4 linked regions of the Pelodiscus sinensis genome follow. The protein of the gene in region 2 interacts with the protein of the main gene of each other region in a pairwise test. Links are inferred from orthologs where the notes say so. Each region holds a gene or a part of one and is shown on either strand. Other genes may lie near its edges. The genes, in order: GEM, TRIM23, TBC1D22B and GPANK1.

The links.
Region 1: the proteins of TRIM23 (region 2) and GEM interact in binary tests that used the Homo sapiens proteins (3 or more experiments, as listed by UniProt). The two-hybrid records come from large-scale screens. The link is inferred for Pelodiscus sinensis from reciprocal best matches to the Homo sapiens genes TRIM23 and GEM.
Region 3: the proteins of TRIM23 (region 2) and TBC1D22B interact in binary tests that used the Homo sapiens proteins (3 or more experiments, as listed by UniProt). The link is inferred for Pelodiscus sinensis from reciprocal best matches to the Homo sapiens genes TRIM23 and TBC1D22B.
Region 4: the proteins of TRIM23 (region 2) and GPANK1 interact in binary tests that used the Homo sapiens proteins (3 or more experiments, as listed by UniProt). The link is inferred for Pelodiscus sinensis from reciprocal best matches to the Homo sapiens genes TRIM23 and GPANK1.

What each region holds. Positions count from the first base shown.
Region 1 is NC_134712.1:40,657,728-40,664,889, reverse strand, and holds the start of GEM (GTP-binding protein GEM), read right to left. Parts: upstream 3,019-7,162; 5' UTR 2,868-3,018; intron 1,069-2,867; 5' UTR 1,060-1,068; coding exon 729-1,059; intron 1-728. UniProt on the Homo sapiens protein: Could be a regulatory protein, possibly participating in receptor-mediated signal transduction at the plasma membrane. Has guanine nucleotide-binding activity but undetectable intrinsic GTPase activity.
Region 2 is NC_134716.1:90,184,231-90,191,541, reverse strand, and holds the start of TRIM23 (E3 ubiquitin-protein ligase TRIM23), read right to left. Parts: upstream 3,011-7,311; 5' UTR 2,862-3,010; coding exon 2,727-2,861; intron 2,636-2,726; exon of another isoform or gene 2,502-2,635; coding exon of another isoform or gene 2,388-2,501; intron 1-2,387. Other genes in the region: TRAPPC13 (trafficking protein particle complex subunit 13), read left to right, coding at 3,466-3,511.
Region 3 is NC_134737.1:16,850,281-16,857,332, reverse strand, and holds the start of TBC1D22B (TBC1 domain family member 22B), read left to right. Parts: upstream 1-4,031; 5' UTR 4,032-4,250; coding exon 4,251-4,306; intron 4,307-7,052. UniProt on the Homo sapiens protein: May act as a GTPase-activating protein for Rab family protein(s).
Region 4 is NW_027466017.1:274,850-282,140, forward strand, and holds GPANK1 (G patch domain and ankyrin repeat-containing protein 1), read left to right. Parts: upstream 1-4,281; 5' UTR 4,282-4,523; intron 4,524-5,051; 5' UTR 5,052-5,120; coding exon 5,121-5,695; intron 5,696-5,905; coding exon 5,906-6,368; 3' UTR 6,369-7,274; downstream 7,275-7,291. Other genes in the region: CSNK2B (casein kinase II subunit beta), read right to left, coding at 1,108-1,210, 1,400-1,482, 3,642-3,711.

The sequences.
Region 1 (7,162 bases), on a different chromosome or scaffold from region 2:
GGCTGGGGGGCATCGGGTGGGTGGCTCGAGCCGTGCCAGGTGCAGGGTCTGCTGGCTGGGTGCTGGCAGGCTTGCACCTGGCACGGGCACTGTAGCCAGCCCGTGCCCCTTTAAGGGGTCCGGGGCCGGGAGGGGGCAATAGAGTTTCCCTGTTGTTGGCCAGAGTGGCCACCAGGGAAACCTGGGGAGGGCTAGGCTCCCACTAGTTCGAATTAAGGGGCTACACACCCCTTAATTCAAACTAGCTAGTTCGAACTAGGCTTAATCCTCCTAAAATGAGGTTTTCCTAGTTCGAACTAAGCGCTCCGCTAGTTCGAATTAAGTTCGAACTAGCGGAGCGCTAGTGTAGCGCCTATGAAAGTTAGTTCGAACTAACGTCCGTTAGTTCGAACTAACTCTGTAGTGTAGACATACCCTAATTTAGGATCTGATGCATTTACAGCACAGTTAAGAATTAATCAGACTTCAAAAGGCTCAGATGCTATATTTTCCTCTGTATTTCAGCAGAGGTAAGTCTTTGTCAGTGAGGGTTTTTTGTGTTTTCATAGCCCCTAATTTTTATACAGGATATACTGGAATCAGCTTTGAAAATAAGGGCCAAGTGTGTATCATCTCAGTTTCAGGGCTGCCAGATTAAACAACCTCAGTAGTTTTCTGTGTTATTACTGATGACTATTGACAAGAAAGGCTTTAAGAAAACATAGACTATACAGAATGTAATGACCTACCTCCTAGCACATCGCAGTCACTGTCCATACTGTCATGTACGCCTGCAAAGATATTGGCCAAGGTAGATTTTCCCACTCCATGCTCCCCAATCAATACCACCCTGTAGTAGGGACTCCCGGACTCAGAGGAAATGACCGAATCAGAAGACTCTGATGACCAACTCCTTCGGTAATAATCTTCGGGGTTCATAGTGTATCTCTTGCGCATGTAGTACTCATGGGGGTCCTTGTGGACAGTCAGGTGTCGTCCATCGGCAGGGATGCTCCAGCGTTGCTGTTGCGCATGCAGCACACTGCTGCTGTGACGCATGGTGACGTTATTCAGAGTCATGGTTTTTACCTAGTAAAAAATAGCGAAGTTGCAAATGTTAGACCCCCAAAATTAGCAATGGTCACCATGTTTAAATAAAACACCTGGTGTGCAGACAAAAGAAGAATTAGAATGGTTGCCTCTTTCATTTGCCTCTAACGTTTCTAATTAGCAAGCCATCGTCATGGCTTTAGGATTCAGGTTGAAATCAGCATTACATACTAACCTATATGTTTGACTCCCCTGAGTTGTGAATGTTAAGCACTATTTTGGGGATGGTGTGGAGCTGCACTGCCCTGAAGGGTACCATCGAAGGCAGACTGCCTTTCCTAGCAGCCCATCATGTGAGTAGGAGGGGGGCGGTGCACGCTGCTGTGTCCTTTCAAAGAGCACGTAATTCCCGGTGAGCTCGTCCCTGCCCATTCTGGGGCGCTGTGAAACTCTAGGGGTGTGCAGAGGGAGAACTACAGCGAATGCAGTTGTGCCTGTCCCTTACACAGATTAAGCAATGGAGCGAATGTTTGTTGCACCCTCCCCATCACTGCATATGCATGTAAAGTCCAGCGGAGTCCGCTCGCACTTTGTTAAACAAGAAATCATTCTTTGCCTGCAAAGTATCATGCTTAGTCTCAACTGAGAGTTGACTCTGTTTTGAGAGCTACAAACATTAAACAATGCACATATAGTGCAGAACCACAGCAACAAGTCTTGGTATAGTGGGCTTGATTTTGCTCTCAGCTATATCAGTGTAAAAAAAAAAAAGGAACACAGTGGAATTAAGCTGGTATCAAATTGGTGTAAGAGAGCAGAATGAGGTCTAATGGGATCCCAGCGTATGTACCTGATCATGCCACTAGAGTAGAAATTACAGGGAGAAAATAGCTCAAATTTGCAGTCTTTAAATAAACAACTTAATTTGACTGAGGAGCAACTAGCCAGGTTAGCTCCTCTTGTCTAAACATGGCTTTTAATTATATTTGACTTTTGAATGTATTTTGCCTTGGTTGGAGGCAGAATATTATGATGTCATTCCTAGTGGTCCCACAGCTACCATTTTTAGGAAAGTTACTTTGATGCTCTCCAGCTCCCAAGGTGACAGTTATTTATACATTTTGCTTTTGTAGGAGTAACTCTGATGGTTCTCCGTTCTCTTCTGCATATTAACAAAGAGAGCGTCTGCTATTAAAACATCACAGACCGTTTTCAAACTTTATTCCTCATTTGTGTTTGCAAGAAGTGCCCCATCTCCTCAAATAGCACACTAGCAATTATTTTTTCTAACTTAAGCAACCACTGAAAACGTTTTAGAGACAGTACAGAGCCGGTCAAACAAATGTGCTGAAAAACAGCAAACTGTACCTGGAATTTGAATAGCTGCCTTTACCGAGCATATTGCCTCTGCTCTACAACTTGTCACCTATGCCATTTTCCTATCTGTAATTATAGCATTTGTTGCAAAATAAGTGCATGTGTATTCCATAGTTCACATAAACTTTTGCCAGCAAGAAATGAATTTAGCTGGAGAGGAGGCACCAAAGAAACACCGTTTCACAAACAAAATCAAATATTTTCACTTTCAAGTATCTATTTTGACTGTCAAAAAGACAGAATAAGAAATGTTAACTTTGATTTGGTTAAATAATAAACAGTCTACTTTGCTAGTAGTGCCTTCTTAAGGAATTTCCATGCTAAGCAAAACTTTAGAACTTACTGTAATACATTCAATTCCAAATTCACATGCCACATTTCATTTATCTACTTATTACCATCATTTCCCTTCACAAAAGCAATACATTCAAACTAACACTTTTCAGCCAGCACTACCTTACTTTGCACAGTTTCTTCCAAACACAGTCAGCTCCTTTGGTCAGTGGAGTGTGATATATTGAACTGGTCTGCTGGAATAATTCCTCTCCTGTTGAGTGGCTGCCTCTCTAATTCCTTCTCAGCAGACCCGGTTTATATTAAGACCATCTGATCAGAGACAGGGCTTTTCCGTGACGTCGTTGGCCTGTCCACACGAAAGCCAGCCCCCAGCTGGGAGGAAGCAGGCATACAGAGAAGCAAAACCTTACAGTAACACTAACAAAATCCCTTACTTGCAGTCATATGATTCTTTTCTTCGTTAATGATGCCAGTAAACCTTTTGTCTTTTTGCAGGGGGAAACAGGAGAGTGGAAAAATGCAATAAATTCTTATTTCATAACACGTGTCTTTCAGCTCTGCATGCAAGTGCTCTTGAAATCAGTGATGGCTAAAGAATTGCTTGTGCTGTTCTAATGTCTCAAGTGCGACAAATATATTTCATTATCCAGTTACAAAATGGAAGGGGCACCATCCTGGAACCTCTTAACGCCTGTATGTGGTCATAGGTCAAGAATTTATAAATACCTGAAAATTAGGAATTTTGTTCTATTTTTCAGTATAAGACTGATGAATGCACAAGATCCCATTTTTCACTTTCTTTACAACCTATAAGCCACTGAACAGTTTGCTCATGTTTACATGTGTTTTGGATGCACAGAATCTTATTCGCTGTGGTGTTATTCCAGTTTGGCGCTAATGGAATTCCACTGATCTCAAAGGTGTTATAGTCTCATAAAAGAGAAGCAGCACAAGGCTGCATAGTTTTCAAAAACTATATTGTGTGTTACAAAATACGCGCTTGGTCCTTAAATCTTTACTCTTTTAAGCCTCATTAGCTGTAAGGCGTTTTGCCAGAGAAAGCACTGCATTATCACACTCCTGTCCTGATAGTTTTAAGGATGAATGGAAAATTTTAATTGATAGAGACAAGTATGTTTACCCTGCAGTCCTCTTTCGAGAGAGGAATGCAAATGCAGCTGAGCAAAATTGCAAATGAAGCGCGGATTTTAATTTCCCATGCTTCATTTGCATAATCACATCCAGGCACTATTTCGAAATACCCTATTTCAAAAAAAGAAACGCTGTCTAGATGCGGTTATTTAGAAAGAAAACCCTTCTTTCAAAATTACCCGTACTCCATATAAAATGATGTTTAAGGGTAATTTTGAAAGGAGGGTTTTCTTTCAAAATAACCATGTTTAGACAGTGTTTTTTTTTCGAAATAGGTTATTTCAAAATAGTGCCCAGACGCGATTATGCAAATGAATCACAAGAAATTCAAATCTGTGCTTCATTTGCAATTTCGCTCAGCTGCATTTGCATTCCTCTCTCGAAGGAGGAATGCAGTGTAGACATATCCAAGGAAGATCCCTTACCAACAGTGTATACTGTCTCCAAGTGTTTTATAAAGTCATATAACATTTTTACTAATAAAAAACTAAAGAAATCTGAACAGATGAACTCAAATCCATTTCTGAACACGGACACAATGTCTTTGTGGGCAGCATGATTCACTGCTGTAAATCAGGAATAGCTGTGTTCTAGGTAATGACCCGCTACCATTGAACTATAGTGCTAAGAAAAGATGGAATTTACAAAACTCTTCGACAGAAACACGTTAATTTTTTCTTTTGGCAGGGATCCTTTCTGTGCTCCTTTTCCAACATATAAAGACAAAAACATTCTCCAAAATAATATTCTCCTATAAAGGCAATGGAAGTCACTCAAACTTGGCAAGAATTGGAGAAGCAGAATAAGCCCTTATTTTCACCTGCTCATGTCTCCGAATGCAAAGTTGCATGACAAACACAGAGCTTCATCACAACTTGGAGTATCAACTAGCTTTCCAGGATGACTGAATCACCAGCCAGTCCTGTGTTTGCAATATTAAGGTTAAATATCAATAAGAAGCTTATACCATAAGAAGCAGCCGTTTGGTCTATGGCCATAGGGAATCGCTATGAATACTGGTTTGCATAGCACTGCAAAGTCCTATCATACAGAATTGACTATTCTCTTGTTGGAAGAACAGCTTCATGCCCCAAAGGCCATGTGTGACGGAGTGCGGTTACAGACGACCCTTCGGGGGTGACTCCCGGGGTGCTGACACGGCCACTGTCACTCACCCATTTGACTTCCCGCTCTCTGGGGCTCCTCACCACCTGGTCCTGCTAGGCCAGCTCTGCTGGTCTCCCCCAGACAAGACCCCGAGCTGGGGTCCCTGCCCCCACCGAGAAGCAGTACAGACACGGAACCTCTTCAGGTCCAAGGAGAGTGCGGTTTAGTGCCCAGCTTCCTGGGATGTCGCTCCCCAGATGGGATCAAACCCCAAAGAATTAGATAAGGGTAAGCCACCTTTAACAAAGAAAGGGGGAATGTACACCCTAGTTGCCCCCCCCCCCCAGGTAATGATTATTTACACTGGGTTTGATAGAAAATAAAAATGATTTTGTTACATAGAAGCAGTAGGATTTAAGTGGTAATAAGAGAGAACAGGCAGCGCAAAGTAGGTTACAAATCAAAAGAAACAAAAACACTTGGCTAATTCTACACTGAAACCTCAATACAGATTTACTCAAACTCACCCTAAAGCCTCTTTTCCAGCTGCGCTCCAAACCAGGGCTGTCTCTTCACTCTGGGGTCTTCGGTTGCTTTCCTTCAGGTGCAGCCCAGCCAAAAGACCAAGGCCTCTGCTTTCCTCTTCTTTTTGTTAAAGAATTGAGGCCACTCCAACTAACCCCTGCTCAGCCTTAAGGACAAAAGAGATTGTTTAACAGTTGGGTAACACCCTCCTTGTCTCTTATTCACACATTTAAAATCCACAAAGTATTCCCCGCTCCCCAATTTTACACTAAAAAAAATGATACACATGTAGTCCCCTTACTAAAAGGGCCTGTTTTATTCTGAAAAGACCCTGTGTGCTACAATCCAGACTACAATTCCCATGAGCCCTTGGAAAAAAAAACAGGAAGGGAGGACTCTGGTGGGAGAGAGGACTGCTCTCTCCCATGTGCTTGAAGAAAGAGGCCTATCAGTCTGGGACTTTGCCTTGGAGTTTGGAACCAGAGGGGGAGCCAGGCTGCTGCCAAGGACATTGACCCAGTGCAAGGGCTGTTGGAGTGCAGCTACTGGATGCCTGTTGGAACTGGGAGTTAGCAGGCTGCCTCCTATAGGCACAGCATGAGGCAGTAAGTTTGGGCCTTGTTGGAAAAGTGCTGCCTGGAACAGAGCTGCTGTTTAGCCTGGACCAAATCCTCACTACAGCTGCAACATCAGCGCGCCAACGCAAGCACGTGTCTGGGACTGAGTCTAGGGGTGTGCACACTCTGGGGTGGGGTCACTGTTGTCTAGCTATATAAGCTTCAATTATTGATATGTGTTTGTTAATGCTATTCATTGCTAATCTTTTAATCCCTGTTTATTCAAATTAAGTAAAGATTGTTTATTTTAAAGTGTTCTATTAGATATAAATGATTTGTAGTTGTTCTGGAATTAGATCCAGATGTATGTTGGAATGAGTATATTCCTGGAGGCTCTCAAGGCACACCAGTGTGTGTTCAAGGCCAGCCAGGTGGAGGCACTGCCATTTTACATTCATTGCCAGCAAGGGACTGCAGTAAGGGGGTGGATAGGGCTTTCCCCAACTAGACACCATCACCACTGGGGTGCTCAGGATCTCTTTTGGGTTAAAACACCAGGCGCCCAGGCACACCTGTGAGTGTGACCTGCTCCCCAGTAACCCGGGGAGGAAAAAGGGGGTTACACACACATCAAAGTAAGATAAATAGAACCAGCAGATCATGACATGAAGATTGATGGGTTACACAAAATAATTCACTTAAAGCACCATTGAGTTATGTATATTCATGTCCATAAGTCCATTTCATAAAGCTTGGGGAGGGAGGGGGGGAGTCTGTCATACCATGCTCAGATTTTACAGAAAGGACACCAGTTCTTTGGCAGGCCTATTCATTTGGCTTCACTTTTCATCTTGCTGGTGGCTGTGGAACTATCCAGAGGTTATGCAGCTGGCTAAGTGCCTGGAGTGCCCTGTTCTGTAGCGCATGTTCATTTGGCTCATTGTAAATTATTATCATTTGTAGTTCTAAATGTGAAAACAACTTTTCTCTGCCACAGGAATGAAAGGGTTTATGCCCAGACTGATCAAGCAAAGTCAGAGGCGATGATGGATTCACTGGAAAATTGTAAATAGATAATACTGAAAAGCACAGACGGTAGCACTATATGTAGAAATAAA
Region 2 (7,311 bases):
TCCTTCTCTACTTACGCTATATCGATGACATCTTTATGATCTGGACGCATGGCAAGAAACACTGGAGACGTTCCACAGAGATTTCAACAATCTACACCCCACCATCAACCTCAGCCTGGACCATTCTACACGAGAGATCCATTTCCCGGATACCACAGTACAAATTAACAATGGAAAATTAGAGACCACCCTCTACAGAAAACTCATCGACTCATACAGTTACCTACATGCTTCCAGTTCCCATCCAGCACACACCATACAATCCATCATCTATAGCCAAGCCCTTCGATACAACCGTTCTTCGATACAACTGTTCTAATCCCACTGACGAGACCAGAAACTTCAGGATCTCTATCAAGCATTTATAAACCTCAACTACCCACCCGGAGAAATAAAAAAGCAAATTGAAAGAGCCAGACGAATACCTAGAAACCATCTACTTCAAGACAGACCCAAGAAAACCAACAATAGAACATCACTTGTCATCACCTACAGCCCCCAACTTAAATCTGTCCAACACATTATCAATAAACTACAGCCCATACTGGAACAGGACACTAAACTTCAAGAGACTCTGGGAGACAGACCCATAGTCTCCTATAGACAACCACCTAACCTCAGGATGATTCTTACCAACAACCACAGGACATACCACACTAATACCAATCCTGGTACCTTCCCTTGCAACAAACCTCGGTGCCAGCTTTGTCCACATATTCTCTCTGCTGATACCATCATTGGACCTAACCAAGTGAGTTATAAGATCAAGAACACATATTCCTGCACATCCAGAAATATATTTTATGCTATCATGTGCCGAAAGTGTCCGTCTGCTTTGTACGTTGGACAAACGTCTCAGACACTTCACCAAAGGATCAATGCCCACAAAACAGATATTAGACAGGATCACAAAGAAAAAACAGTTTCTTGCCATTTCAACCAGAAAGGACACTGTCTCAACGACTTAATCACTTGCATCCTGCTTCAAAAGCCTTTTAAATCTGCACTTGAAAGGGAATCCTCTGAACTGTCATTCATGCTAAAATTAGACACTCTACGCTTGAGTCTCAACAAAGACTCTGGCTATCTCACCCATTACGAAGATAGCTTCCCCAATTATCACCTCTAATACCATTAACTCACAGACATCTACCTCCGCCCCCCCACCCCCCGCCCGCATCCTCCCTCTGTTCTGAAATTTGATTTGTTCTTGTCATATGTGTTCATCATTTTTTTAATTGTATCCTTTGGTATATATGGTTGTGACAATTTTCTTCCACTATTTGATCTGAGGAAGTGGGTCTGGCCCACGAAAGCTCATCATCTAATAAACCATCTTGTTAGTCTTTAAAGTGCTACATAGTCCTGTATTTTATCCCTATTTAGGGCCCTACCAAATTCACAGCTAGGACTGCAGAGATAATGCATGAAAGAAGGCCGAGGGTGCACACGATCCCCCTAATACTATGGGCATGATGAGCAAAGGGCTAGAGATTCTGGACAACCCAAGAAACTAGCTAGGGAGCATGGTGCTCACAGCAGGGGTTTGGCCCCTGCACTCAACTGCAGTGGCTGGGTGAGAGAGGGTGGAAGGGTGCAGAGCAACATTGCTCCTCCATCCCAGCTACCAACCATTTGGGGCTTGGGCAGGACCACCCTCCTCTGCACTCAATGGTGGGAAGTAGAGCAACAGCAGCCAGCAATTAGGGGAGTGCTTTGTTCCACTTCTCTTCACTGTTGTGGGTGAGTGCAGGGAGGTTGTGAACCCTGCTACCCGCATCAAACTTCTGCTAGTCCTGCAGGCTGCATAACTCCTAGGTAAGGTCTTGGGGAAAGAGATGGGACAGGGGTGGAGCCGCGATAGGAAGAGGTGGGTCCTGAGGCAGAGAGGCATTGTGTAAGCCGTCCTCCAGCCAGGGGTGGGGTGGGGAGAATCACGTGGCCAATGGTGCCTCCCTCCCCTGACTTTCCTCACCAGACTCTCTAGCGGACTGTGAAATATGGTCTTGTAAATGAAATCTGGCTATCAGAAGACAATAGCAGCATTGGCACCCTTATTTCTGCATTACCTGAAGAGCTGGGTGGCCGCTCCTGGTCAAGGCTACGCACAGCAGCGCAAAAGGGTAACATGCTATGTTATTGTCACCCTTACTCTACCCCTACTTCAACTGTCAACACTGCCTTCAGAGCTGGGTTCTTGGTGTCCAGCAGCCACCACTCTCTAGACACCGAGCTGTGGAGGCAGTGCAGAAATAGAGGTGGCAATACCACAACCCTTCTAAAACAGCTTTGTCCCGCGCTTTTGGGTCAGGATCCCCATAGTTACACCACCATGAAATTTCAGATTTAAAGATCTGAAGCTGTGACACCCTAGATTTTAAACGGACCGTGCAGTCGGTAGGGCCAACCCCCGCCCCCACGCTAGGAGCCCACTCGTCTCCCAGCGGGCTGCCGCCTGCACTCGCGGGAGCCGACGGGACCCAGGAGCCGCAGCAAATCATTCGTCCTCCCTCTGGCGGGCTTCTCCATGCCCGCGCGGAAGCCACGGGAAGAGGCGGCGGCGGCTGCACAGGGGCTGTTTGACGCAGTTGGGAAAAGGCTGCGAGCCCCGCGCGGGTCACCACCCAGCCCCCTTCCCGGGGCAGGGGCGCAGCATCACTACGCTCCGACAAGCGCTGTGGCACGAACCGGGCGGGCAGCCCCCGCGCGGACGCGGTGCCTCTTACCTTGACAGCAGCCCCAGCCGGCCCCCGGCTACCGCTGTGCCGGGGGCCGGTATCCAGCGCCGCTCCGGGCCCGGCCTTGTTTACACTCATAGCCGCCATGTTGGGAAAGGGAGGCGGAACGAGCCACCTCCGCATCAACAAGCCAATAAGCCAGCAGAGACAGGAGGACGGGCCACGCGCTGACGCCACCGGCCTTGCGCTGTGACGTCACTACGCGAAGCATCCGCGCAGAAATGAAAAATAATCCTGCCGGGGTTTTCTCCGGAGGCCGCCGACAACGTCACTGCGCATGCGTCTCATTCATTCCCCGTGAGACGTAGGAAGACTACAGTTCCCATCATACAATGGCTCTCAACTCGTGAAAACTACAGGTTCGGAGATAATACGCCGACATCCGCTCAGTCACCTTGAGAAGACTTAAACTCCCAGCATGCAACGCGATTAGTCCAGGTTCCCTAGAAGACTACTCCTCCTATCACCGCTCGGCGTGCGCAAGTCCCTCGTGCTCCTCTGTGCGTGCCAAGGCTCAAAGGGAGCAGTGCATGCTGGGGGGTGTAGTGCTTTCTCGCTCCTGCTGGGGCCCAAATGGCGCGTTGCATGCCGGGAAACTCACCTCCGGGTTTTCCCGGACTCGCTCGGTTGGGCTCAAGTTGCGGAGCCGCGTCGTGTTCCTTTCGCCATTGGCAGGCGCTTGGCCGGGGTGTGGGCGGCGAAGGCTCCGCGTGGGGTGCCCGAGACCATGGATGTGAATCAGCCGAAGCAGGAGCATCTGCTGGCTCTGAAAGGTACCGAGACGGCAGCTCGACGCCCCTCCCCCAAACCTTTGCGTCCGCGGCGGCCCGTTCCCCGGCTGGGCCGGCAGGTGAAGCGCGTCCCTGGAAGGCCTCAGCCCCAGGCCCTCCGCCGGGGGTGGGGCAGAAAGCGAGGCGCAGGCACCGGCTGTCGGTTGGGGCCACCGGGTGGAGCAGGGAAGCGGGCCGGGGGTATGTCGCGGGTTCCTGGGGGTGGGCCCCTGCCTCCCCCTTAGCCCTGACAGTGGCTGTATTGCTCAGGCGGCGCTGCCCTGCCCTGCGGGGTGGCATGAGAAGCGGGCCGGTGCGACTAGCGCCTTTGGAGGAAGAGTGAAGACCTGCGTGTACTAAAGAGCAACCGCACAGGTGTTGTCCTGGGGGCTGCCTGCTTACCGCTGCACTTGCTGGAGGTGTCACAGAAATGTGCAGTAGCAGACGGGGAAGAACTGCATCATAGGCTAGTTTTCAGTAGGACTTGGGCAGAGATTAACACTTATGTAATCAGACGATGTGGGTTGTGTGTAGGGTGACCATATCTCCCTATGCTGAATATAGGACAGAAAAAATTACTCACTTTCAAGTGAGTGGCCATCTGTCTTATTTTTTAAAGTTTGAGAGCTCACAGGGAGAAAACATGCATACGCATGCATGCACACTACACAGTGGGTAGTAGCATATCCTTGCAGAACTCCTCTCTTTTCCCCCACCATCCACTATTTTGTCCCTGCCTCCCTGCCCACTGTCAAAAAGCAGCTAACACCTTAAGGTTGCTGCTGGCTACTAACATAATCCAGCCTCCTCCTGGATACAGCACAGGCAAGAAGAGGTTAAATCTTAAGCATGTATTGTGCTCCAGGGCCCAGAAAACCTGACTGGACGGACTTCAGGGAACTCAGTTAGAGAGATGACTCAACAAATGAGTGTCTCCAGACAGAACCATCCCATACAGAGCCAAATCCCCACCCACCCCCAAGCTTCTGTGCAGCTTCTGTGCAGCCTAATACAGAGAGCCTAATACACTTTTGCCTGGACTAGGGATGTTAAATTGCAGGTAGTCAGCTAGTCGAGTAGTCAATGAAATTTCCATCGACTACTCGATTCGTTGATAAGAGGGAAACTGGCTGGGAGCTAACCCTGCTGCATCTCTGCCTTCTAAATGTATTAAAAGTTGCCAGGCTCTAAATACCTCTAGAAGGCAGAGGCATAATGGGAGAAAAAGGCGTGAGCCGGGACAGCTGATTCCTGGCCCTTTTAAGCTGTCTTCCCCCAGCACTGGCTCCTGCTTCCCCCAACTTCTGCTTCTCTCTCATGGTGGCAGCAAGTCGGGGACAGAGGGAAGTGACTAATGGAGTCAGTACTTGACTACCCAATAAACATATGCTTATTGGGCAGTAGATGAGTTGCTTATATCCCTAACCTGGACTACCCCACTGAGCCTGTTACTTCTCTAAGCCCCAGACATATGCACCTGGGCCCCCATCCAAACAAGCTTCACACACACACACACACACACACACAATAGAACCCATTTTGAGAACCATTCACATACATCCAGACCTCTCATGCAGAGTACCAACCACTGTTCCTGCATCCAGAACTCCCATACTTCAAGCCCCCACTAGTCCACCTGCATCCACATTGCCCCGTACAGAACTCACTGCACACTTGGATCCCCTCCACCCACACACTAAACCCCTTTACATTTGGATCTTGCCAATCTGGACCTGCCTCCACATACCTGATGCGCTTGGTGTAGAGGGACAGGATCCTGGGATATATTAGGAGCAGGCTTGGCTCTTCCCTTGTTTTAGGCTTCGGTGCAGCTAGTCCATAAGGGTGAGCATAGGGCTGTACGATGATCATCCACCTCCATGCAGCCAGTGACCTGTGTTTTCCACTGCCGTGATGGAACCTCCATATTTATTCATTAACAAACAGCATTTGCAGAAGGTATGGGAGTTTGGTGCATAATTTTTCACTCAGGAATAAGTACTTCAAACTCTTTGAAGGAAAAATATACAAGTGAAGAATGTTGTTTTATTAATAGGAGATTGGTCAAGCCTATAAACACCTCAGTCGGATTGAAAGAAACACAAAGCTATGGGCGGTGGGAAAGCTATGCAGTGCTTTGCAGGTGAAGAGGCGTGAGGGTGAGAGAAGATCTAGTTGGGAAAAGGATGACTACTGTAGTGATACTGTTCTGCATGGATTGGAGAGGGAAAGGCTAGAAAGCTTGTGGAAGTCACAGAGCACGTAAACAACTTTGACTTAGGGTGATGAAAACTCTGTGTTCTGCAATAACCTCAGTTTGCAGAAGAGTTTCAGCATGTGCAGCAGAATATTTACATGTTCGTAAGACGATAGCATTTGATATCCATATGTATTTTTGTCTTCTAACTCTTCTTTGCTCCACAGACAACTACATACTTAATTATTTCTTCGTCTCCACAGTCCATAACTGATTTAATGAGTTTTCTATTCTATGTACTTCAAGTCAAACATGCAAGGGAGATGAACTCCATAGTGCCGTGATGACAATTTTTGTCAGTAGTGAATTGGAACCTGTAGCAATGAGAGCAGAGCACTAAATAATCTGTCTTCCTTTTTGTCTCTGAATAAAGGTGATATTGCTTTTGGCATTGTCATTTATCATTGTACCTGCACATTCATGTTAAGTAGCACTAATGAGTAATTTAAGATGAAGTCCACAATCCTGTAACAGTTGAATTCAGTGGGACTACTCAAGTACATAAGCAGGGCCCTACCCATGAAATGCATGTCAAGAATCGTGAAACTCTTTCCTATGAAATGTGACTTTTTTGAGGTCAGCCATGTTGCAGAGGGACAAGACTTAGCTGTCCCCTGCATGACAGAGGGAGATCAGATTTATTTCCACAGGCAGCACAAAAATGAAGATGGGCTCTTGGCTTCCACCCTTTTTGCCTCTTGCTGGAGCTCAGGGCAGATGGCCTGGGGAACAGTGCTCGGGGAAGCTGGGTTGGCTGCTGCTGCCGCCACCGCCACCCACAACTCCTGGCACAGCTTTGGGCTGCTGTTATCCCCTCTCTGCTTCAGCTCTTCCTTAGTCTGGGGGCCACCCAGGCTCTAGCTATAGCTCCTGCTCAGACTCAGGAGACCTGTCTAGTAGGCTGCCACCCTCTGCAGCTCTTGCCCAGCTCAGGCCTTCCCCAGCCTCCCTGTGGCCTCTTTCTGGGATCTTTGTGCTTGACCTCTGGGGCTTCTGCTTCCTTTCCCTCCTTCCGCCCTCCCCCACCCCGAGCTGGGGCTTAGGAGTCTTTGTTGGAGCATGCCACCCCATGCAACTCTAGACTCCACAGCTCCTGCCAGGCTTAGTGCTGCCCCCTCTCTTTTGGCTCCTGCCCAGGTCCTAGGCTGTGGGCTGCCCCCTGCTGCTCCAGCTGGGACTTTGAGCTTTTACCCCCTATAGCTCTTGTCTAAGCTCAAGGACTTGGGTGGGGGCTGCCACCCTCTTCAACTCCAGCCCTCACAGCTCCTGACAGACTCAGGGCTATGCCTCTTGCCCTGTGGTCCTGTCTGGCTCTCCTCTTCCTCCCCCAGCTCCTGCAAGGACTTGGAGCTTTCATGCCCCATAGCTCCTGCCTGAGCTCCTGGCTTCTGACACCCCCCCCCCATAGCTACAGATGGGGTTTGGGGTACCCAGACTCAGTGATGCTGCCTCCCCACATGGCTCCTGCCTGGGATCTGGGCCAAACAAGTTTGGGCCTTCAGTCCCCTCTTTGCGCCCCCCCTCCCCCAAGCTTGGGTTTGGGACT
Region 3 (7,052 bases), on a different chromosome or scaffold from region 2:
CTTATCCCCTCTCTTTCACTCTTGTTCAGAATCGAAAGTTGGCCTTTGTCTTTGGCGCGCTTCCAGCCAGAGTCTCCTGCTAGCACCTGGGGAGAAGAAAAGAGACACCCTGTAAGAAGCATAATGTGCAGTTATAAAAGTGGCCTGGCTTCTTATCAAGGGTAGACTCGTGCTGCCCTCTGGCGTTGGCATCTCCCATTTGGGCATTGAAACGCCACCAGGTTTTCATGGGCTCAGTGCTTGGCTCTTCTGAAAAATCTGACCCCAGTGAGGGCTCCTGACTGCTAGAAAATCTGGTCATAAGAATCCTGGTCTAACACCTCCTCCCCTCCCTTGAATGTCAAAGGGAAACTGGGCATAACCAAGTCACACTCAGGCAGAGCGGGTAAACGATGCAAGCAAATCAACCTGCTAGCTGTTCATCCTGACTTTATGCTCACTTAGTCCTGGGGTAATTGCCTGCACATGATGCAGGGCAATGGCAAATCAGACCCATTCCCTTCTCAAATTGCTGCTCAACTAATAACATTTTGCCAATCTAGAGCACTTTCTGAGGTCCTCGGAGCACTTTGGAGAGTACTGAAGGAACCCTCTGCTCTTCTGAGGGCATGCGTCATGAGCCTCACTTTACACATGGGGAAACTGAGGCACGAAGCAGGGTGGTGATTTGTTGACAGTCAGAAGGGCAGGTTGACACTTGAGTTGTTCACCTTGAATAAATGAATTGCTAATTAACTCAAGGCAGTTACTGTGTGTCTGCACAGACTTGCTGGGATGCTCCCCAAATGCCTGTTCCAGAATTGCTAACGTTTCTTTACCTCAGAGTTTGTCTGTAGCCCGTAACAATAGTTTAGGACAGTGCTACACAGACCTTGATGACCTAAGAGCCAAATTAGCAATCAACAGTACCCAAAAGAGCCACAGGAATATGAATGACAGGGAAATATTTAGCTTATAAAACTTTTTAATTAATTTGCTGTTAGACTATATAATTTATAATTATACTTAGTAATTTAGTGCAATCTGATAACAATTCATTAATAACACAGTAAAACACAGCACCGTGATTGGTTAATCATTAAATCACGTAGTCTTTTAACATCCTGTGCTGCACAGAGCCCCAGGAGATGCATTGAAGAGCCAGTCTCAGGCCTGGTCCACCCTGGGAGTGCTCAGACTGGCTCTCTGCAAAAGCCCTAGCTACCTCAACTGAGTCCAAAGAGCAAACTTGGGGGCAGGCCAGTGCACAGAGAAGCCAGGAGTCCCCGCATCCAGCTCTTTGTGTTAGTGGCCAAACCACCCCCTTTCATTTATTTACAAAACAAGGTAGGAGAAATAAACCTGGTCCAGATTTTCAAAAGTGGCCACCGTGGGAGACTTTCTGAGGATCTGAGCTCCCGTGAGGGGACTGAGTCATTAAACCTCGTTTGACAGGGTCTGTCTCCAAAGGAGCTCAGCTTCCATTTAGACGCCCAAAGGCAGTGGCCATGGTTCTGAAAGGGAGCAGTGAATTGCTGAGCACATCTGTAGCTTTGTCCATCTCCTTAGAATTTTGGCACCAGTTTGGGTGCTGAGATCTTGAAATGTTGATGAATAATGCAGCTAGGCCAGGGGCAGAGTTAAGGGTACCTGTGAAACAGTCACTTTGGCATGCCCTGACATTGGGTGCCTTGCCTTGCAATGTTTATCTGACACAGAAATTGTCATGCAATATTTAAGGCGTGTGGAGGTGTGCGTGCGTGCATGTGTGTGTTCCAAAGGCCTTAGAAAAGAAAGATGGTCTGGTGGCCAGGGCACTAGTCTAGAAATTGGCCTCTTATGAGGTTCCAGTTAGCAGGCCTGGCTGGCAATTGCTGTATCCCTGCTGGAGGCAGCCAGAGCCATGTAAGAACTGCCAGGGTAAAGTCAGCAGCCCAGCAAGCTGGTTAGTATAAGCACCAGAGTTATTGACTTGAGTCCCACGACTTGAACTCGAGTCCGACTTAAGTCGCCGAGGTGACTCGACTTGAGACTTGACTCAGGTTCATTGTTTGTGACTTGAGACTTGCTAATTTTGTTAACTCGACTTGGTGAAAAAATTGTCCGAAAATGCCGACATCAACGGCTTGTACAAAAGTGACTTGACATTTTTTAAATTAAGACTTGAGACTCGACTTGGGACTTGACTCAAAAGTGACTTTAGGGACACGAGACTCGACTAGAGACTTGAACTGTAGTGACGTGAGACTCGACTTGGACTTGACAATGACACCTTGAAGACAACACTGATAAGCGCTGTACGTCTGTACCTACTGACAGGTTTTATGCTGCTGCCCTTTGCTGTGATGTCTGAGAACCTTCTAACTAAAAATGATAGGGTGACCCTATCATCCCTAGTAATCATCCCAGATAAACTATCTGGCACTTTGTCCTTTTCGGAGTTAAAATCTCTGCTTGGCAGAGCGGGCCAGGTTCGGGGGGCAGTGGTTAGATTGTGTTTGTTGATTTGGTTTGATAGTTACTGATCTGGGACATCTGCAATGGGAAGAAAGTCTGTATATTCTGGACCTTGTTGTTATAAACTTGAAAATTAGGTTTTATTTGGTACTGGGTCTGCATGCCACAATTGCAGCTTGCTTAGTTTCCTGTTTGTGCTGTCTTGGTCATTTGGTTGCCAAGACAAAATTGTTATTAAACATGAATTGTTTTTAAACATATAAGAAATAATTACAACAAATGCTCCTGAAATAGACTGATTTTTACATTAGTTGTTTTTTAATTTTTTTCAGTTACAGACTAACAAGGCAACCTCTCTGTGATTTTTATATTTTTATTCTTCAAATAATCCAAGAGCTTCTAGGGAGCTAAGCAACCCCCACTGAAAGTTGCCCCTTCACCACTGAAATCTGAAATGGCATTACTACTTTCTGTGAGTTCCTTGTTAATAAGGATTATAATTACTTATTGTTTGTATCCAGTAGCATGGTTCAATAAGACAATGGAAAAGTTACCAATTTAGAGAAATTGTATAACATTTCAGTAAGGAGAGAGAAATATCTGTAGATCTAATTGTCATGCATACCCATCTCTCTTACCTATGTTTCAATTTGCCCATGGGTGGTATGTACTGTGTTCATCACCAGGCTAACTAAGTGCCTTATAAGTGTTATAATTTTCCTTGTGTGATTCCATCCCACTTGCATGAGCAAAATAAGATTGTTTTAAAAGTGTGAGCAAATCAAGATGGATTTCCACCCTAATTCCAAGAGGCACAGGTTCAGATTGGGACTGGGAGCTCTGTTTTGATGCAGTCCAGGATTAGACCCTAAACTACTCAGGTAGAAGTCTTTGAAACATCTAAAATAGAATGAAGTTGCAGGACTTTGTGATGTGAATAGAAAAAGTGGTTTTTTCACACTCAGCCTGAAGTACCAGAAATGTAACTTACAGCCAAACAAGCTGTCACTGGAGGGAGCAGGGAGGTTTGAGGACTCCCAATGGAAAGTTTGGGGAAATGACATTTAACTGAAAAGGGAGATGAGATGGAAGCTCCAACTCTAGGGGAGCCCAGCCACTGCACAACCCCTCTCCCTCTTTCAGTGCAAAGTGTTTAACCCCACACGACCCCTCCTCCCCAGTGCAGCTGGTTTAACCCTCTCCACCTGTCCTTCCACAGTGAAGTGGTTTAACCCATTCCCAAGCAATGCAGACCCCCTCCACCCCGCCTCCCTGGGGCACATGGTTTAACCCTCTCCTCCCCAATGCAGACGGTGTAACTCCCTCCAAGCGCAAATGGCTTAATCCCCTCTGTCCCTCCTCCCCAGGGCAGAGGAATTGTCCAATTCCCCCCTCCTCTCCCAAGGGGGGTGATTCGTCCCCTTCCAAGCACTGGAGATGGTTTAACCTAGCCACCTCTTCTCAGAGGAGATGGTTCGCTCCACTCCACCCCTGGACATGGTTTATTCCTTGAGTGCACAGATGGTCTCTCCCGCCTCTCGAGGCCCTGCCCCTCTGCCCGGTCCTGGCCTCCCTCGCTTCCCGACCCTGCAGGATCCCGGCTCTGGATTGGCTGAGCTGGAGGCCGCGGAGCAAGGCAGCCAATGGCCGGGCTTCGCCCTCCCGGATCCAAGATGGCGGCGCCGGAGCCTGGCAGCGGGGCCTCCGGAGGGAGGAGGTGAAGCGGCCTCGGCCCGCGGCTCCGGGACCTGTCGCCGCTCCCCCCTTCCGGAGCCGGCCGGGGCCCGGCCCCAGCCCCAGCCCCAGCCCCAGCCATGGCCGCCGAGAGCAGCAAGCAGTTCTGGAAGCGGAGCGCCAAGCTGCCGGGCAGGTGCGTGCGGCCCTCGCCCCCACCCCCCCCGCCAGATCTCCGCCCCCCCCGGCCCGGTCAGACTCCCCCGCCTGACCCCTCCCCCCCCCGGCCCGGTCAGACTCCCCCGCCTGACCCCTCCCCCCCCCCCGGCCCGGTCAGACTCCCCCGCCTGACCCCTCCCCCCCCCCGGCCCGGTCAGACTCCCCCGCCTGACCCCTCCCCCCCCCCCGGCCCGGTCAGACTCCCCCGCCTGACCCCTCCCCCCCCCGGCCCGGTCAGACTCCCCCGCCTGACCCCTCCCCCCCCCCCGGCCCGGTCAGACTCCCCCGCCTGACCCCTCCCCCCCCCCCGGCCCGGTCAGACTCCCCCGCCTGACCCCTCCCCCCCCCGGCCCGGTCAGACTCCCCCGCCTGACCCCTCCCCCCCCCGGCCCGGTCAGACTCCCCCGCCTGACCCCTCCCCCCCCCGGCCCGGTCAGACTCCCCCGCCTGACCCCTCCCCGGCCCGGTCGCCCCCCCCCCCCGGCCCGGTCATACACCCCCCCGACTCACCCTCCCCGGCCCGGTCATCCCCCTCCCTCTGCGGCCCACTCCCCCTCCTCGCCTGCCTGACCCCCCGCTCCTCCCCCGGCCTGCTCTGCTCATCTCCCCTCCCCCCACCTGACCCCTGGCCTCCCCTCTGGCCTGGTCACCCCCCCCCGATTCCCCCCCGCCGGCCCAGTCACTCCCCTCCCCCACCTGACCCCCAGCCCGGTCACATGCCCCCCCGGCCTACCTGGTCACCCCCACCTGCCTCAGTCACAGCCCCTCCTGACCCCCCTCCCCCATCTCCCTTTTATATTCCTCCTGATTGATTCCGGACTAGTCCATTAACTGATCATTTCCAGCTGGGCCTGAGAGGAGCCGACCTGCCTGGGAATGGGATTCACTTCTCCTATCCATTTGTGGGTACTTGTAATATGTATCTCTGCATAGCTGCAACCTTCACCAGGGAGCCAGTGACAAAAGGGGGGCTGTGCTGGAGCCTGTTAACTAACCTTCTGTGCACCTGCATCCCCCAAGTCTCCATTCAGTGGGGGATGACAAGCTGGAGCGGGAACAGTTTGGTTTGGCTTTTTTTTGGGGGGGGGGGGGTGAGGAAGCAGTGAGTCCTTTCCCCTTCCCTCTGCATCCTGAAGTGGGGAGGGGGCAATGTAGAGAGGAGCTTGCTGGGTGTCTAAAGGCCTACTTCAGAGCTAAGAGCACAAGGTGCCCCCCTCGTCCTCAAGGCCAGGCACGGCCCTGGACAGCAGAGCCTCCCAACAGAACAGGTGTCCTTGTATCCCATGTGAGATTGTAATTCCCTGCATTCCTCTTAACCCTGCTTCCCAGGAAGTGTGGGAGTCTGGGGGGGCACCTTCCCCACCTCACTTCCTCTGGCCAGGGAGCAGCAAGGGAGGCTTACTGGGTGGGAGGGACTGCACCAGCCATTGCCTTGAAATAGATTAATGACAGCAGGGGGCAGGAAACTTGCTCTGGGGAGAGGCTCCCCACTTGTGGCTTTGAGAGGAAGGTTCCCAAAGAAAAATTCAAAGCAAATCCCCAGGAGAAAGCGAGGGAATAGGGAGGTTTTACCCACCTCCCTGTGAGGAGTATTACAAGGGTAGGTTAAAGTCTGAGCGCTTCATATGGGCATCACCGTTTCCACGCTGCCATTAATCTCATCTTGACCCTGCAGTCCCCTCCTGGTGTGCACGTGCAGAGCCTTTGAAATGCTTAACTGGCTTTAAATCCTGCTTGGCCAGTTAATCTTCTCTTTCTAATGCACTCTCACTTTCACTCTCCCCCTGCTCAAACTGAGGTTGCTGGGACAGTCCAGACCTGGGAGAGTGGTGTGATGCTGCAGACATCACCCGCAGCTCCACCTTTTTTTCTGACAAACGAATGCCACTCTGCATATGCACGTGTCTTGGAGTATAATCTTACTATCGGGTACATGTCTTATCTGTAGCCCACATCCTGCCCGTGCAGAGGGTGCTCTCTAAGATAGCAAGTTTTTTCCATCTCGAACAACTTTGAGCTCCGCTTTTGAGAGCTTAACCAGGCAAACCCGTTTGGGGAAATAAGTAGGAGCCAGCCAGCCCGGAACTCAAACTAGGGCACTGGATAAACTGTTCTCTCCCCCAAAAGGCCAGCATGCTAATAGTTTGTCAGATCTAGCTGTGTGTGGTGGTACTGGCTCTGTTCCTAAATCCCTGCTATAATCACCCACGCTTGGAAGCTGTCAGCAGAGAGTGGAGGAGGGAAACAGGAGATGCTAGGTTTATGGCCTCGGAGGTTAAGATTACTTAAGAACTGCTTATCCAACCTTTCTGGGATCTTTTCCTGCATATTTGCTGGCTCTTTCCCAAGTCTGTGCTGATCACCCTGGAAGGAGCTGAAGATAATGTCAAAGTTTGGATAAGCACTTGGGCTTTCTCCATTCACCGCATCTCTTTGTGATCAGTTTCAGTTGTTCTCTAGCTTGGTGTTCAGCTTGGTGTGCCACCAAGAGGTTCTCTAGGGCTGTCACGGCTGTTCCCCACTCTGACAGGATAAATGCAGAAGTTGGGGGCCCACAAGAGTACTCCAAAACCTTGCCTCTACAAGCTCTGGTACAAAAACTTCCCTCCAAAATCCTAATACCCAGATTTTGGGGGACCCACTGCCACCATCAAGTGCTTTGAACCCCAAAATAAAAACACAAATGGGTGGATACCTGGGGTACCCCAAGCTCTTTTTCCCCA
Region 4 (7,291 bases), on a different chromosome or scaffold from region 2:
GGAACCAACGCGGGAGTAGGAAGAAGTGGGAAATACTCCTGCTTATTCCCGGCACAGATCGACATCAGGGAACGTAATGAACCGCTGGCCCACGTTTTGGGGGATTCTCCGTCGCCAGCAATTTTTCAATCCAGATGGGATGCTATTAACTAACTCATCCGTGCTCCAGCCGGCGTGATCCCGGGAGCCAATTCCCGTGGGCCCTGCGAACCGTGAAATTGCTGAACTCACGACTCTCCTGGCCTTGGGATCTCTATCTCCATCCACAGAACCAACAAATTGCCTTCCCAGCTGCGCACTGACCCATGTTACGTCGGGAGCTCCCATTCAGCGATTCTCCCCCAGGGCCCATATGTCAAAGGACGGGTCCCCGTGGCTATTCCTGGTGGTCCGGTCTTCTATTTGGCCATGTCAAATTGGAAGGAAGAGATGGGAGAGGAGGACCCCGGGTCTCAATGATTCAGGCAAAGAGACACCACCAAGGCCAGTCCATTGTACGGCTGACACACCCACGCTGCTTTCGCATGTCTAGATGGGTACGAGTGCAGATGCTGCCCGGAAAGGGGATCATAATGAGCCCTCCTCAATTGTGACGTGCTTGTGCAAAAAACAGCTACGTGCAAATCAAGACCTCACTATATTGTAAAAGACATGCAGCCTCGTGCAAAGGCACAAACATCCCAGGACCTCGCAGTTGTGCACGAGAGAGGACAAGGAGCTCAGAGCCAGGTTGTGTGCCACGTGCATGTTTCATCCACACACAACCCTCCTCCACGTGTGTGCAAGAGGCACACATCCCATCCTTCATGCCTGTGCACCACACAAACACCCTGCGACGGACAACTTTGAAATGGACACGCACACCTGTCCCCCACGCTTGGGCAAGACACACCCTGCTGCTCACACAACTGTGCCGCACGCATCCTGGGCCGGCAGTCGTGCGAAGGGGCAGCTGTCTGGCTTCGACATGCCGGCCCATTCAGAGGGGCGGGGAGCGGCAGCAGGGTGGAAGGAGACGAGGACTCACACAAAGCTGGCAGGGGGCTGGTGACGGGTCAGGGGCTCAGACCGAGACCCCTCCTCAGCCCTGGGACCCCCACCTAGTACCTGGCTCCAAGTCGAGGATCATGTCGAGCGCCTGGCGGTAATGGGGGACTTGCTCATTCAGCCCCGTCAGGTTAAACTTGTCCTGGATATAGTCCTCATCCACCTGCGGGGGAGGGAGACGGGCTGAGAACCCAGGTGTCCGGACTCCCAGGCCCTCCTCCCCCCATGCTCCAACCACTAGACCCCACTCTCCTCCCATGGTCAGGACAAGTCCTGGCTCCCAGTTGCTTCCTCTCCCAGAGCCAGGCAGAGAACCCAGGCACTCTGGCTCCAACCACTAGGCACCACTCACCTCACAGAAGAACTCATTTCCACGCAGGCCACAGAACCAGGAAATCCAGGAGACCTCTTCGGAACTGCTCATCTTCCCGTCCTCTGCAGAGGGGGGGGGGGGGGGGCGCGTCAGGCTACCCGTGTGTGCGGTGAACGTGGCTCGGGCTTGGCTGGCAGCCCCACACGCCGCTCCCACTACAGACCGTGCAGCCAGTGCTGTGACGTGTCCCCTCACGTGTCCCCTCAGGAGCAGCCCCCTCAGGAGCAGCCCCCTCAGACAGCGTTCAGATGCGCCCCCTCTGGGGTGGGACACGGGGAGGGAGAGGGGCAGTTCTACAGGGACCCCTCTCTCGGCACTGAGATGCAGCTGGCTCTGGGGTGGGGCATGAAGGGTGAATGGCCCTTCCCCCATTGTATCTTTAACTCGTCCTCCCATGGCACGGGCAGAGATGAGGGATAAATACTCCCCCTTTGCACTGGGGCACAAATGCCCCCACCCTCCTCCCCTCTTTGCACAAGGGCAGACCGCTCATCATTGTGTGGGTCTGGGCCCCCTTGCCCTCCCGCTGCACAGCTCCCTCCTCCCCAGCTTGATACTAAGAAGGCAGATGACCCTGCCACATGCCCCCTTCGCTCTAGTGAGCACATGCCCCCCCCTTTGTGCTAGGGACAGACCCCCCCCACACACACACCCTTTGCACTGGGGACAGAACACACACTCTTACACCCGTTGGATTAGGCCCCCTCCCCTCTTTCCACTAGGATGCAAATCACCTCCGGCCTCTAAGGGCAGGCTCCCCCCCCTTTGCATTAGGGTGAAAATTCCCCCTCTTTGCACTAGGGTGCAAATCCCCCCGCCATGCCTTCCAGTAGGGGCAGCCCCCCCCACCTTTGCACTAGGAGAAGGCCCTCTTCCCTCTTTACACGAGGAGCAAATCCCCCCGCCCCCCACTGCACTAGGGCAGACACCCCGGCCTCCCTTGTGCTACAGCACACCCCCACCCCCACTTTGCACTACGGCAGACTCCCCGCCCCCCCTTTGCACTAGGGTAGAAGCCCCCCCTTGCACTACGGCGCGGCCGGCCCTTTGCACAAGGGCAGTCCACCCCCCGCCCCTCTTCGCACCAGGGCGCAGGACACTCACCCCCGCGCGCTCAGCCCCGCTCGGCAGCAGGCGGTGCCCGGCAGCGAGTGCAAACAAGCGCTGCCAGACGTGCACAGGCCTCGCTTCCGGCCCCCTCCCAGCGCGCGGGGCATGACGGGAGATGGAGTTCGCAGCCACCGCCGCCTCCATAGGAGTCCAGGGACGCGGGGCCAGCGCGGAACTACCGCTCCCACCATGCAAAGCGGGGGCAGCGGGCGCGGGGGGTGATGGGAGGCCGCGATGCACGACGGGAGTTGCAGTTCTCCAGCCGCCCGAACCGCATTGGGACGCATGGGCAGCGGGACCCGACGGTACTACGGGCGTACGGCAGGAGGGGACCCCGCGGAGCCGCAAAGCAGCATGGGAATCGTAGTCCCGGAGTGCCCCTAGGGCCATTAGAACGAACGGGCGGCAGGATGCTCACAGACTACACCCGCCATGACAGACAGAGAAGCGGCTGCGTGCGCAGCCGGGCGCCGCAAGGCCTCCTGGGAGTTGTAGTCCCGCAGCTCCCCGCGCGAACTACAGCCGCCATGTTTGAACGCGATAGGCGGGACGGGAGGAAGCCGGGGGAGGCGCCGCAAGGCCGCTTGGGAGTTGTAGTTCTGTCGCCGCCCGAGCCTCATTGCCGGGATTGGAGGGCGGGGGAGCGGGAAACTACGAAGCCCAGAGGAGGGGCGAGAGGAGGGGCCGCAGAGCATAATGGGAGGAGCGGTCTTCCCCCCCCCGCCGTCTCTTAGGAGCAGACCGGAGCCAGACGCATGGGGGAGGGGCCCGGACACCTGAAAGCCATCAGACATGGGCGTGGCCTGACCCGAAGGGGAGGGGCTTATCCAAAAAGGGGGGTGTCCGCACGCAAATGGGCGTGGCCTGTCCCGATGGGGTGAGACTTCACCCAGAGTAACTGCCATATTAAAGGGCGGGGCCAACACAAAGAGGGCGTGGCTTCCCCTAAACGGGCGTGTCCCTGCAAAATGGGCGTGGTCTAACCCTCGTGAGGGCGTGCCCCTTACTGGGACAGGCGGGATTTCCCGCAGGGGGCGTGGCCTCATCTCCGGGAGTGTCCGGCCCCCACGAAAGGGCGTGGCCTCCCCGCCGGGGGCGTGGCTTCCTTTACCCTCCTTGATGCTGGTGCTGCTCCGCCGGGTGCTGGCTCTGCTGTACTCCATGGCGCCCCGCGTGCTCATCTGCCCCGGCACGTTAATTGGTACCGGCCATGAAGGGTTAATTACGCTGACCTACAGGTTAATTACAAATATGTTAATTAGCCTGTCGCGGGTAGGGCTATTTCTGACGTAATCCGGTTAGGGTGAGGTAAATTAGAAGGTGTGTTAATGAACCGACGTCGGGATGACGTCACGCGCCTGCGAGCCGATCCTACTGTCATTAATTCCTTCCCAAATTAAATCTAATTCTATTGAAATGGGAACAAATCGACGCTAATTGGCTGGGTTCGAGGCAGAAAGGCATGCTGGGTAATATGCAAATGAGATTACCGCGCACCTCACGCTAGAAGCAGGGAAGCGCGCGGGGCAGTGGCCGTTACTAGGCCAGCGAGAGCGCGAGGGCCCTTGCGCATGCGCTGTGCTGGCCTCTAGGTTCGAAGCACGGGGCTGCGCATGCGCCTGTTTTCGGTTTCGCACGCGCGCCCCCTGGCTCGGTTTCACTGGGCTCCCGTGCGCAGGAGCCTGGCTCCTCCCTTCACCGCCTGACGCGTTACGTGACGTCACTCACGCGCCCCGCCTGCTTTTCCCGCGTCTGGAACACGGTGCGCACGCACCTCGGGGGGGGGGGGATGTACTGCGCATGCGCGTCGCGGGTCACTCGTCGCGGCCTAGAGTAACCGGCCGGCGGGAGGCTGCGTTCGAGCCGCTCCCCTCATGCGCGTGCCTAGAACCAGGAACCCCCCTGCCCCCCCCACCGGCGGCCTCGCGCGCATGCGCCTTCCCTTGGCCCCCGGGGGCGGCGCGCGGCTGCTGCGGCCTCCGGCGTCTCTATGGTGAGTGGGGCCGCGACGGCGTCTGGGGGGAGGGGCGGGAGTGTGGCTGGCCCCGCCCCCAGGGCCTAGCCCCGCCCACAGCTCCCCGAGGCGCTCGCCCCGCCCCCTGGCCCTTAGCCCCGCCCCTGGGGCGCTAGCCCCGCCCACAGCGCCCCCAGGGGGCTCGTTCCGGATTCTGGCCCCGCCCCCAGACCCGGGTTCCGCCCTCAAGGAGCTGGCCCCGCCCCCAGACCCGGGCTCCGCCCTCAAGGAGCTGGCCCCGCCCCCTCCCAGCCCCCACTCCCCTCCTGGGCTCTTGGTCTCACCCCCCACCCCCACCCGTCTCGGGACCCGGCTCCACTCCTCAAACCCCCCCCCCGGCTCGTGGCCCCGCCCCCATTTCGCTAGGGCCCCCGCCCGACCCCCCCCCCGGCACCCCACCCCCACGGCCCTGTCTGCGGGTCCCCCAAGGACACTGGTGCCCCCCCCCCCCGGGGAAATCACCGCTCTGCCTCCTACCTTTGCCGGCCTTGTTCCCCTCCCCGCTAGGAAACAGGCTGATCCCGCCCTGTGCACCGGGGCCGCCCAGTGACCCACCTCCATCCCCCCGTCTCCACCATGAACTCCGGCCCCCAGCTCATCTCCTTCACCCGGGCCCGGGAAGAGTCAGACCTCTGGAAGGATGGGCAGCTCCAGATACGGGCCGGGTGCCCTGTCCGACGCCGGGAAGGGGATGCGGATATGGAAGGCGAGGAAGCCCGGAGCTTCTATGAGAGCGTCCTGGCCTCCGGTGACCGCTCGAGTCCCCTACGAAAACGCAAGGCCCCACCGAGACGCCCGAGGGTGCCTGAGACACCCACCACCCAGACAGGGCAGACTGACTCTCGCCGTGGGAACCTGCTGCTGAGATCGGCCCAGGAGGGTGACACAAGGACCCTGCGGCGGCTGCTGGAAAAGGAGGGGTGCGATGTGAACTACAGGGACGGTTATTACTGGACGGCGGTCATGTGTGCCGCTTATGCAGGCCGGGGGGAGGCCGTGAGATACCTGCTGACCCGGGGAGCCGCATGGGTGGGCGTGTGCGAGTCGCAGGGCCGGGATGCGGTGGACCTAGCCGAGGAAGCCGGGCACCAGGATGTAGTGAGGATCCTCCAGGAGCGTGAAACGGCTCAGCCAGAGGGCAGGATGGCCAGGTGAGTCTTCGGTTCTGCTCACCTGACCCAACCCCAATCAGAGCTAGAGCTCTCTAGAGAAGAAAGGTCCCGTCTCCCCTTCCCCATCTGCCTCAACTAGCTAGTTTCCCCAAGTTGGGACCAGATGGGACCAAAAGGGGAAAGGCCCTATGTCCCGTTCCTCATCTCCCTGAGCCAACCAAGTAGTCCCTGACCCTGTTGTCTCCCTAGCAGGAGGACTCCAGCAGAGAGGAAATACTGTGCCGTGTGCAAGATGCATTATAGCGAGGACAGCGTAGAGCTCCACGAACGCTCCACGGCCCACCTCTTCAATCGGCGCGACCCACTGCCTCCCACCCGCTACCACATCCCCGAGAACAACGTCGGCTTCCAGCTCATGGTCAAGGGGGGCTGGGACGCTGAGGCTGGGCTGGGGCCTGAGGGCACTGGTCGTAAATTCCCTGTCCAGACTGTCCTCAAGAGGGACCAGAAGGGCCTGGGCTTCCGTAGCGACCTCCGGCCCAAGGTCACCCATTTCAACGCTAATGACCCCAGCGCTGTGGCTCAGCCCAGGGAGCAGCAGCCTAGGACACAACGGGCAGCTACAGTGGGGAAGAAAGAGGCCCGTCGCAGAGAGGCCAAAGCACAGGCCTGGGAGCGTAATCTGCGCACCTACATGAACCTTGACCTTTGAACTCTGGATTAAGAGCCTCGATGGTTATTCAGCTACTGGGATTGCTTGGATGGTGCATCTACATTCACTTTGACCTTTAACCTTTCACACTCACTGATTCCTATCAATGTTCAGCTGTTTGGATTGCCAGGATGGAATGTCTACATGAACTCTGACCTTTAACCCCCCGAGACAATTAACAACCCTAAAATCATGCAGCCAGTTGGATTATCCAGGTGAGGTGCTTTTTGAGAAATTCAACCTCTGGTATTTCTGATACCTGCGCTGTTAGCCAACAAACCTACAGCCCAGGAAAACTTTTTAGCCAATCAGATCCCTCATGTCTACATGAGTATTGACCCTTAACCTATGATGTCATCTTTGTGGAGTACCATTAACTAATAACGCACAGTCCTTGAAAGTATCCAGACAGTTGATTTCCTTGACATGTTGGATGCAAACCCTTGACAAAACATTGACTATGAACCAGAAGCATCTCAATGGGATCTCTGTGCCGCACCATTAACCACTCAGCCTACAGTTCTTCAAACCATTCGGCCTATTGGAATTCTGGATTGGCTGGTTGATATGACATCATTTTTCTTAAAGGGCCAGTAGCTATCAGGGAAGAGACACATCTCTGCAATCCTCACGGTCTTAGAATGCCAGATCTGCTGACTAGGCCAACATGCACAAGCTCTTGTTCCTGTAATTTAATGGGATGATTCAGGGATGGGAACGTGGCCTGGTTGCTGTTCTCCCTTCTGCTCAGAAAGCAGTGAGATGTGTGAGCAGGAAAAGATGCTGGCCGGGTTTTTTGGTGTCTGGGGATTTTGACTGATTTGGAGGGGAAACAAATCTCAGTTTTTGTTTGGATTCTATTTGATTTGGAATCTTTAAGTGAGAATAAATAGTGGTCCCTCCCTGGTTGTTTTGTGGCTCTA